3 linked regions of the Saccharomyces cerevisiae S288C genome follow. The protein of the gene in region 2 purifies or fractionates together with the protein of the main gene of each other region. This does not show direct contact. Each region holds a gene or a part of one and is shown on either strand. Other genes may lie near its edges.

Region 1 (3,015 bases), on a different chromosome or scaffold from region 2:
TTTTCCAAAACTTGCTTACCAGCAGGAATGACTTCCTTACCGATACCGTCACCGGGGATAAGACCAATAGTGAGTGATTTGCGAGCAGCGTTAGATGCTAACCCACGGCAGGCAGATAATCTAGTAGCAACAGATCTAAACATCTTTTTGAGTGCGTTACTATCTTAGTTATATAAATATGTCGCACTAATATAATAATCGCATAGATACAGTCTTAGCTAATTCTAAATCAGTTAAGATGTCCTTATATAACTGTAGAACCAGTTTAGTTTCTTGTTGTTCTTTCCTCTAATTAGAGTCATCTTAAGAATATTTTTCCACGGGAAAAAAGTGAAAAAAAAAAAAAAAAAAAAAAAAAAGAGTGGGAATTTTCAGTGCAGTTGAAAAAATCGAGGTGGAATTTGAGAACGACAATTACTTAGCACTACATGTGTTGTTCTCGTTTGTTTTTAATTATATACAGGTTGGTTAGGTGACGTTGGAGAAAAGAGGCAGCCCACCTAGAAGTGGAGGTTCTCGGAAGTGGTGGATTCTTCTTCTTGCGCCGTATTCAATGTAGTGTCGTCCTTCCACGACCCTGCAGGGTTACTTGTCCTTGCTGCCATTAGTTCAGTTTCTTCAACTACCTTCTTTTCCCAGACGTCTAGGACCTCTTGTTCCTTTTGTATACCATGTTCAATGGCAGAAACTCCAAAGAGGGATCCGAACATCTCCGCTTCTTCCAAAGCCACTTGCTGCTCTGTTTCTTCTTGCATTCTCAACGCATAGAATTCATATCTGGCATGGTCATATGCTTCGACCATGTCCCCATACTGCTTCGTTTTGATTAAGTACATAGTTCGCTGGATAACACTTTCACCATCGAGTGGTCTTCCTATCTGAAGCATATGGCTCCAATCGTAGTTTTCATCACCAATTTCGTTTTCCACTAAAATCTTAGGTCTCGACAACTCCCATGGATGTTGTTTGTAAAAGAGCGATCTGAGCCTATCCTCAACGTATGTTAGTTTAGGTGGCCTGTACAGCCTTTTCACGCCCACCCTTTTGTCGCTCGAGTTGGGTCTTGTCTTGTAAAGTCCCTTATTGTTGGCATGCGGTTGTTCTGTTACGTCAACAAGTTTTCCTATGATGTGTCCATTGGAAGGATTCTTAAAACGAGGTTCACGTGTAAACTTGGTTGATGGTGGGATAGACGCTACAACGTTGTACCACGCAGGTGTTTCTTTCAACAATCCTGATTTCAAGTAAGCGGACGTCCGTTGAAGGACGTTTACAGCATTTGTTTGTATCTTCATTTCTCAGAATTCTAAGATCTTCTTCTTGAATGGTGCGCAATGTCCTTCTTCCTTTTCCAAGCTTCTAATGAGGTTATTTTCTTAGACTTTTGTGCAGTATCTAAATATTATTGGTTTTATTGCTTGTAACTTGCACTTTTCTGTAATTGCCGAAGTATCAAAGAAATTTCAACTCTCAAAGAAGATGCGCAAGAATGAAGACCAAATGAAAAATGTCATAAAAAAGCAGTATATTAGCTGTCTTGGGTTAGGGTCCTCGTTCAACAGATTCTTTTTGCTTAATGGTGCAAATGAGATCCAAAAACATGGCATACGAGTCGGGAACTAATAACTATAGTGATACAATAGCTAATGGAAATACCCTGCCGCCGCGAAGCAAGAAGGGACACAGTGGACGTAGAAAGAGGAGCGAAACTTTGCCCATAGCGTGTAATAATTTTTGTGTTACAAGACAGATTGATGACGATGAACAAGCGTTCAAAATGCTAGATAAAGTGAGTCATCTGAAAAAATTCAGTGCTGAAGACGGTGATGATAACAATATATTCGTCCAATGGGCCGATGATATTACAGATATCTTATTTGGACTATGCTGTACAGGAACGTTTTTGAAACTTCTTATAAGCTCTGCATTATCCGGCCGGGCTAAGACATGGTTTGATTCTACAACGGAGGGAATCGATGACCATGTGATAAAGGCTTACAGTTTTGAAAAATTTCTTGCTCTACTATCAGAAGAATTTGATGGAGCAAGATCTTTAAGAAGGGAAATTTTTACGGAACTATTGACGTTGTCCATTGATTCTGAGAAGTCATTAGAAGCATTTGCCCATAAATCGGGACGTCTAACTCCATATTATCTGTCTTCTGGTGCTGCGTTGGATCTATTCCTCACAAAATTGGAGCCACAGTTGCAAAAGCAACTGGAAAATTGTGCATTCCCAATGACTTTGAATTTAGCACTATTGATAACTGCCTGTGAATTTGCGAAGAGAGCATCTAATCATAAAAAATACCGGTATAAAAATACGAGGGATTCCGACATTTGTACTCCAAAGAGTAAGAATACTGCTATCGTTAGCAAATTATCGAATACTAAAACTATAAGTAAGAATAAGGTTATTGAAAAGAGTGATAAGAAAAATTACTTTGATAAGAACAGTCAACACATACCCGATCCTAAACGTCGGAAACAAAATGAACCTGGAATGCGGCTCTTTCTTGTCATGGATGAGGAAAAGAATATTCTTACATCTAGGAATGTTTCTGCCAATGCATACACATCAAAAAATGGACACACCAATTTAAGCGATCTCCATACGAATCTTAAAAACAGTAAATCTCAACAATGTGCAGTGGAGCCAATATCGATTTTGAATAGCGGCAGTTTGGTTACAGGCACAATTAATATTGACCTAATTAATGATGAAGTTTTAGGCACGAAGGAGGAAACTACAACTTATGATGAACGTATGGATGGAAACTCACGTTCTTTGAATGAGAGGTGCTGCGCCGTCAAGAAAAACTCACTACAACCTATAACATCAAATATATTTCAAAAAAACGCTGAAATTCAGGGCACAAAGATCGGGAGCGTTCTAGATAGTGGTATATCGAATAGCTTCTCCTCAACAGAGTATATGTTTCCGCCCACAAGCTCTGCGACAGTTAGTAATCCAGTAAAAAAAAATGAAATCAGCAAGAGTAGCCAGGTTAAAGA
Region 2 (4,480 bases):
GTCTACAACAGGTTTTAGTTCAAGATTTATTGCACCCAACTGCAGCTTCTGAAGCAAGAAAGCACAAATTAAAGACATTAGTCCAAGGTCCAAGATCGTACTTCCTAGACGTTAAGTGCCCAGGTTGTTTGAACATCACTACAGTTTTCTCACACGCCCAAACTGCAGTTACCTGCGAATCCTGCTCAACAATTTTGTGCACCCCAACTGGTGGTAAGGCAAAGCTTTCTGAGGGTACATCTTTCAGAAGAAAGTAATTTCATTACTAGACAGATGAAACGAAATTTACTTCAAAAGAAGAGCATTAATAAAGTGATTCAATTATGGAACCAGCAGGGTAGGTTTTATCATATATAATATACACTCAGTTGTCATCTTTATTGGCTTTTTAGAAACGCTGCAACAAACTGTACTATATATATATCATATTCACGTATGTAGAATATTAAAGTATTGAATATATTAATATTATTACTTTATTTCCAGTTACTTACAATTTCCTATTTTCTATTTACATGTTGTAAAAAATCGTTGCCGTGAAAAGTGGACAATTTCTTCATTACCTCAAAGTTTGAGAACTGATGATCATCAAATTGAAGAGAGTCCTCCAATTCATTATAAGATTCCATAGCCTTTCTAGCTTTTTGACGTTCTTCCTTTTTCAACTGCTTGATTCTCTCCTTTTCTAGCTTGTGGAACTTCTTAACATTCAAGTCTCCCAGCCCTTTAATCTGTGTTTTGGCCGCTGAGGCCCATAAATCACCTTTCTTACTCTTTCTGGCATCGTGGTATATTTGTTTAGAAAACGACCGCGAAACCGTCCATTTTTCAAGTTCTCCTGATGGCGCACATAAATCCATCATAACATGACCTTTACGTTTGACAGGATCATTGATAATTCTAGGCCAGGAATTTTGCGTGTCATCACCCAGTGATCCAATGTCATATTTGCCGTTCACATTTTCATTCCGTAATTTCTTAATTTCTTTCAACGTATTTTCGTCCTTATGTGATCTCTCGAATATTAAATAGGAGTAGTTTAAAATTTCATAGTCACGACCATTTCTTCTTCCCGTTCCTTTTAGCCTCGACGCATTTCCTTGAGAACCATCCCATGAAGTAGCGAGAAGTTTACCCTTCTTTAACTCTATACTGAATTTGGGACGCTTGATGCTTTTTTGAAAATTGCAGAACTTTAAGTCTTTACCCTCTTTATGAGTATAAAAGTTAGGATTTCCAACCTGTAAGGGACATTTCCTTTGATGTGGACAAGGTGCAATCACCTTCAGAAAATAATTACTGGAAATGTTTCCTAATTCAGCATCTTTTTTGCCTCTGACTGTTACTCCCCTAGACCAAGGTCTTGGTATTTTTCCGAATTCATCTGGAAAGTTTTCAGGTCTAAGCGTAATTTGCCTTGCCCTGGCTATAATCTCGAATCCCATTGGGTTGCCTCGTTCAATAATAACAATGTGGCCTCCAGGCGCTAGAATATTTAAGTAGTGCTCAATATTTTCATCCACCTGAATTGGAAATTGATTCCCGTCATGAAGAAGTTGATGCGTTAATATTATGAGGTCATATTCCTTAGATGCGGGAATAGAAGACCGCAAGTTAGTCATAATGTTTATCTTTTTTGTCATCACTTCTCCAATATGTTCATCCTCTTGAAAGTTTTTGTTCCGTCTATCTGTTTCCTGCTCTTTCTCTGTAGACACATTTTCTTCTACAGTATCGACCACCTCGTTAAGTTGTCTGCTCAAAATGATTTTGGCTCTTTCTTGCATCTCCGCATTCCCTAAAATAACGGCATCTTTTAGATCAGGTCTATAATTTGGGCCTAAAATATCATTCAAGGCAACTATACCAGTCGCTGGGCCATATCCAACATCAAGGATTCTTTGAGGTTTAAAATTATCAGGACCTACCCTTTTTTGTAATTCTTTCAGACTTTGGAAAATAGAACCATAATTTTGTAAAAAAATGGACGCTATATGTGCATCCACTTCCATTTTGGTTCTACAGGGACGATGTAATGAATTTGGTTCCTGAATCTCTTTGTAATAATTTGTAGCAACCCTTCTAAGATTATTGGGAATATGTACAGCCATAATATTATTGTTGATTGCTTTGCTTACATCAGGATTCAACTCTAATTGGTCCCGGTACGACTGGCCCTGAAGTGTTTTGGAAAGTAATCTGAGCTCTTTAGAATTAGTTGCTTGAGTGGTGCTAGCGGTTTCATCTCTGTACGACGGAAGAACATTGATTCCTCTTTTATTTGAGTCTATAAAATCCGCCAAATCTAACTTTGGTAAGTTTAAACTTGTGAACTTTGAGCTGAACCGGACATTTTGTGGTAGGATACTGAAGCATCTTTTCATCATTTTACCTAAACTAGACGGGCCACCTTATGTCCTAAAGTGTCAGAGGTTTTGCTGCAATACTGTTCTTAATTTTTCACCATTCACTTTTTTCATCTAGTGGCGGAAAAAAATAAGAGATATGGAAAACAAATATGAACCATCATTAAACTTGAAAAAGATGAGAAGAAAAGAAATAGTTAGGCTTTAAGTGTCTGTATTGATCAATTAATTATTACTTTACCACTGCTGTTTATTAGCATAATAGCACACGGGATCAGAATGCTTAGTAATACACTTATTATTGCCTGTTTATTGGTGATAGGGACAACCATAGCGCTAATAGCAGTGCAAAAGGCATCCTCCAAGACAGGGATCAAGCAAAAAAGTTATCAACCATCTATTATCATTGCAGGTCCTCAAAATTCTGGAAAAACGAGCTTGCTTACGCTGCTAACCACAGATTCAGTAAGACCAACTGTTGTTTCTCAAGAACCGTTATCAGCAGCGGATTACGATGGTTCCGGCGTCACGTTAGTGGACTTCCCAGGCCATGTCAAGTTGCGTTATAAACTCTCAGATTATTTGAAAACAAGAGCCAAATTTGTTAAAGGGTTGATATTTATGGTAGACTCAACAGTTGATCCTAAGAAATTAACAACAACAGCTGAGTTCTTGGTAGACATATTATCAATTACTGAATCTAGTTGCGAAAATGGTATTGATATCTTAATTGCATGCAATAAAAGCGAATTGTTCACTGCAAGACCACCATCAAAGATCAAGGATGCTTTAGAAAGCGAAATTCAAAAGGTTATTGAAAGAAGGAAAAAATCGTTGAACGAGGTTGAAAGAAAAATTAACGAAGAAGATTATGCAGAGAATACACTAGACGTTTTACAGTCTACCGACGGGTTCAAATTTGCAAATTTGGAAGCATCTGTAGTTGCTTTTGAGGGCAGTATTAATAAAAGAAAAATTTCCCAATGGCGCGAATGGATAGATGAAAAACTGTAATATAATTATAATTTATAACTAGATGAACGATAGATAGTTTAAAAACAAGCATTTAACATAGCTCTAGATTCCGTACGCAGAGAAAGACATAGTTGCATCATCGACACATGCAATATCAAAAGTAACTCTTTTTGACTGCTGGTGTAAAAAACACTCACGATGGGGGTCGAACCCATAATCTTCTGATTAGAAGTCAGACGCGTTGCCATTACGCCACGCGAGCTAATATTTGTTTGATGTTCCAGCAGTTATATGATCTAATTATGCGGGAAAATAATTGAAGATAAGTAGTTTGATGTATTTTTATTATAGTATTATATTTTCTGATTTGGTTATAGCAAGCAGCGTTTTTTTTCTTCTTTACCATAATCATTGTACCAGGAAATTTTGTTCATAATTATTGTGTTGATTGTCAATGGTCAAAGGTACAACTAATGAAGATTAAATATGGTGAATAGGAGGCCTGCTAGCCACCGTACATTTAATATGTCCGCGTGTTGGAATAAAAATCAACTATCGTCATCAACTAGTGGTTATACTACCAGTATATTATCTTATATGGTGTCAAATGTGGACATGATGACATAAGGTATGAGAAACTGTCATCGAAGTTAGAGAAAGCTGAAATACAAGGATCAATAATGTAATAGGATAATGAAACATATGAAATGGAATGAGGAACAATCGTGATATTATTATGTAGAAATATCGATTCCTTTTTGGGGATGCCTATATCCTCGAGGAGACACTTCCAGTATATTCTGTATACATAATATAACAGCCTTTATCAACATTGGAATCCCAACAATTATCTCAAAATTCACCAACCTCTCATGGCGCATATTCATCATGCATGTAACTACCACATCAATGTTCAATCATGGACTTTTAACTAATCTTAAGTACTATTCGAACTGCCCATTCAGCTTTTCCCTTTGCAATTGGTGCACTCCTACTTGAACGAATTCGCGGGGTGTACATTAAACTACGATGTAAACATCAAGGTTATTGCTATAACATGTCATGTCACCATTAATTACCACTCATTCCAACATACTGTCCCTGACGAAAACTGTTTATGCGAGCGCAAAATGAACCTA
Region 3 (2,930 bases), on a different chromosome or scaffold from region 2:
AACTCGAACAGAGAAAAAAGTAGACATAGAAAGAACCCAAAGACCACAAGAGCAAACAATGGTACAGCTGAGAAGAACGTATGTATATATGTTCGTGGTAAGCTCGTTGGTATGCACGTATCTTAGGCATCACTACCAACAAAGTGTTTCAAGCGATCACGTCGACTAACGACAAAGTTGCTCACTTTGTCGTGTTCATGTGGGAGTCGTGGCTGTTTGTAAAGATGTTTGCTGAGGACATCGTGACTTTCCGCAAGCTACAGGCCAACAAGTACGTGTTAGGGGTGCTGATCTGTTCATTATGCGCAAGTGTAACGAGTGAATTCGCCCAAAGCGTGGTTTCGCGGGGACAAAGGGTGTTCGATGTGAAGGATATTATTTGTAATTTCTGGGGCAGTCTGCTTGGTGTGGGCATTGCCTTCTACCAGGACCGATAAAAAGAGATTATACGGAAAATCATATAAATGTGTTTATGTACAGGCAAGTTTACGTAGACTAGATTACTTTAATTGAATATATGCTCTGTGAGCAATGGCTGTCTTGTGAATCTGGTCCCTCTTTTCAAAGGCAGACGAAGTGCCTTTGGCAATGGCAGTGAGTTCTTCTCCCAAACGCACGGCGAAGTCGCTCGACACTCTTTGGTTTGCGCTTTGTACGATCCAGTTCCACGCGATCCTATTTCTTTGCCTCTTGTTCAGAGGCACAGGAATGACAGAAGCCTTGGCCACGCCTGTGTTGAATGTCTTGGTCATCATCAGCGGAGCTAGTTCGTCGAGTGACTTTTCCAAAGCCTGGATGGGGTCCTGCCGGGTCTGGCAGTACACCAGATATAAGGCCCTGGACAGAATGGTTTGTGCCTTTTCCTTCTTACCGTGGCGCATGATCATGTTTGTGATGTGATCCAGCGTTGCGTTCTTGCGTGGAGGAATGGGCACGGACTTCAGTGCCTCCCATTGTGCCAACTGCTCTGCAGTTGGCTTTATCTTGGAGCCCGCCTGTGAACCCTGTAAGAGGTCTACTTTGGACTGGCCCGGTGGAGCCAGCGAGGTCTCTGGCAGGTATTCTTTTGCAGAGAACTCTTCCCTTAGCTCGTTGATCGCTTCAAGCCACTCGTCGACCCCTTTCTCTGCCGATGGTTCGCTAGCTGGTGTTCGTACTGACGACTGGAAACGAGCAACACATGTCCCACTTTGCCACAGGAGACGTGGCCTGACTAACATATACCTCCTCGCACAATGCAGCATTATATTCACCTCAGATCCGTATCTATCTATTTTTCTTCTGAAAACGATAGCTGCTGTCTTTTCTGTACGTGTATAATGTGCATTGTATGTAGTAAGCTATTTCTCAAGCAAATGTAGATTGGAGCCAAGACGAACATTTAAAGCCGTATAGAACTACTTTGTTTCTTCTTCAGATGATCATTTCTCATATATGGTCACGTGGCTCGATGTTTATCGCTTTATCTTTTTTTTTTTTTTTTTTTTTGCTTTTCATTTTGGCTCTGCTCTCTGTATTAGCTCATCATTTAACGCAAATGACCACGAGACAATAAACCGACGAGGAATGTGCTCATATGTCTCGCCAATACCTCTAAATAATTGACCGCGCGATTATTTAGTGTGACCAGAGCAAAGTAGCTTTGCGTCCGACCATGCAACCATGGATATACTCAAAAATGGCAATAGTGTGCCCCTAATACGTTTGCTGGCCAGTATCCCTTTCTGAAATAAGCTAAACCCTTGCAACCACCAGGGGTGCCGCCGTCCTAACTTTCCAGCCTGGCAGCGCGTCGAGTCGCCGAATGTTGCGGGCGCTGCCCCGCCCGCAACACCGCGCCCGCCCTGCCTCAGCTTAACCGAAACCACACGGGTCTGCCATCTTCCATATACCCTGGCTCTTCTTTCACAATGCCCGCTCACAACGCCAACTGCAAAAGAAGCCCGCCCTTAGTCGGTTTTCCCCACTTTGATATAACCCCCCCCCCCCCCCCCCCGCATCAACTGGTAATTTAACCCAAACACCACGGGGTCATAATTTAAAAGCGAAAAACCTTAAAGCGTTCTCGAAGAAATCTTCCTGTAGATGATGTCGTAGCAAACTTATCTTTTAGAGTGTTTGTGCTTACTGCATTGTCAGATCAAAATTTACGTAGCCGCCCTTTTCAACCCCTGTCGAAGAGTAGCATAACAGCAGCGTAGTGAACGTGCATGTTCACAAATACACGTACAATATTAATATACAATAGTAAGGTGATGAACACACACACACACACACACACACACACACACACACACATATATATATATACAGGAGATCAAGTTAGTGTGAGGGGACGACTACTGAGTTTGAAGTTCTTTAAAGTGTTAAAGTTATTTTTCCCCTCTCCCACCTCGTTGGCAACCTCTCACCCACCGCTTAGCAGCATGTCTCCGTACATGACCATACCTCAGCAATACTTATACATAAGCAAGATACGTTCCAAGCTGTCTCAGTGCGCCCTTACTCGACACCACCACAGAGAACTTGATCTACGAAAAATGGTGGGCCACGCCAATATGCTGGACAGGATCCTCGACGAAATAGACGAAATCGACAGCGAGGTAGTACTGTGTGACGCTGCCGATGGTTCTTCTACTGCAGAAGCTCATTCCGCTTCCCCAGCATCCAGCGACTCTTCTCCTCTCACTAATAACATCCGGCCCATTAGCATTATGTGATTAGCATGCATTTTCCCCTTTTCCTTTCTTAAGAACATTTTTACGACGCGGATCTGCCCGTCATCGCATACGAATGTTGAATCACGCCAGAATCACCAAAGAAAAAAACTCGTTCAGTTCCTAGGTTTTATGAGCCAGGAACAATAGACTTTTATCGCATATTATTTCTATACGTGCACTTATATATGCACACATATGTTTATATACATA

What was found. The genes of interacting proteins can lie anywhere in the genome.
Region 1: the proteins of RSM22 (region 2) and RSM25 purify together in Saccharomyces cerevisiae (affinity purification with mass spectrometry; 3 studies listed by BioGRID, with this or other methods). This does not show direct contact.
Region 3: the proteins of RSM22 (region 2) and RSM7 purify together in Saccharomyces cerevisiae (affinity purification with mass spectrometry; 4 studies listed by BioGRID, with this or other methods). This does not show direct contact.

What each region holds. Positions count from the first base shown.
Region 1 is NC_001141.2:187,490-190,504, forward strand, and holds RSM25 (mitochondrial 37S ribosomal protein mS23 RSM25), read right to left. Parts: upstream 1,296-3,015; coding exon 501-1,295; downstream 1-500. Other genes in the region: LYS12 (homoisocitrate dehydrogenase), read right to left, coding at 1-143; YIL092W (uncharacterized protein), read left to right, coding at 1,577-3,015. UniProt on the Saccharomyces cerevisiae protein: Component of the mitochondrial ribosome (mitoribosome), a dedicated translation machinery responsible for the synthesis of mitochondrial genome-encoded proteins, including at least some of the essential transmembrane subunits of the mitochondrial respiratory chain.
Region 2 is NC_001143.9:158,956-163,435, forward strand, and holds RSM22 (tRNA methyltransferase RSM22), read right to left. Parts: upstream 2,388-4,480; coding exon 501-2,387; downstream 1-500. Other genes in the region: 40S ribosomal protein eS27 RPS27A, read left to right, coding at 12-257; SRP102 (Signal recognition particle receptor subunit beta), read left to right, coding at 2,646-3,380. UniProt on the Saccharomyces cerevisiae protein: Mitochondrial ribosome (mitoribosome) assembly factor. Binds at the interface of the head and body domains of the mitochondrial small ribosomal subunit (mt-SSU), occluding the mRNA channel and preventing compaction of the head domain towards the body.
Region 3 is NC_001142.9:637,732-640,661, forward strand, and holds RSM7 (mitochondrial 37S ribosomal protein uS7m RSM7), read right to left. Parts: upstream 1,245-2,930; coding exon 501-1,244; downstream 1-500. Other genes in the region: YJR112W-A (uncharacterized protein), read left to right, coding at 59-78, 128-437; YJR115W (uncharacterized protein), read left to right, coding at 2,211-2,720.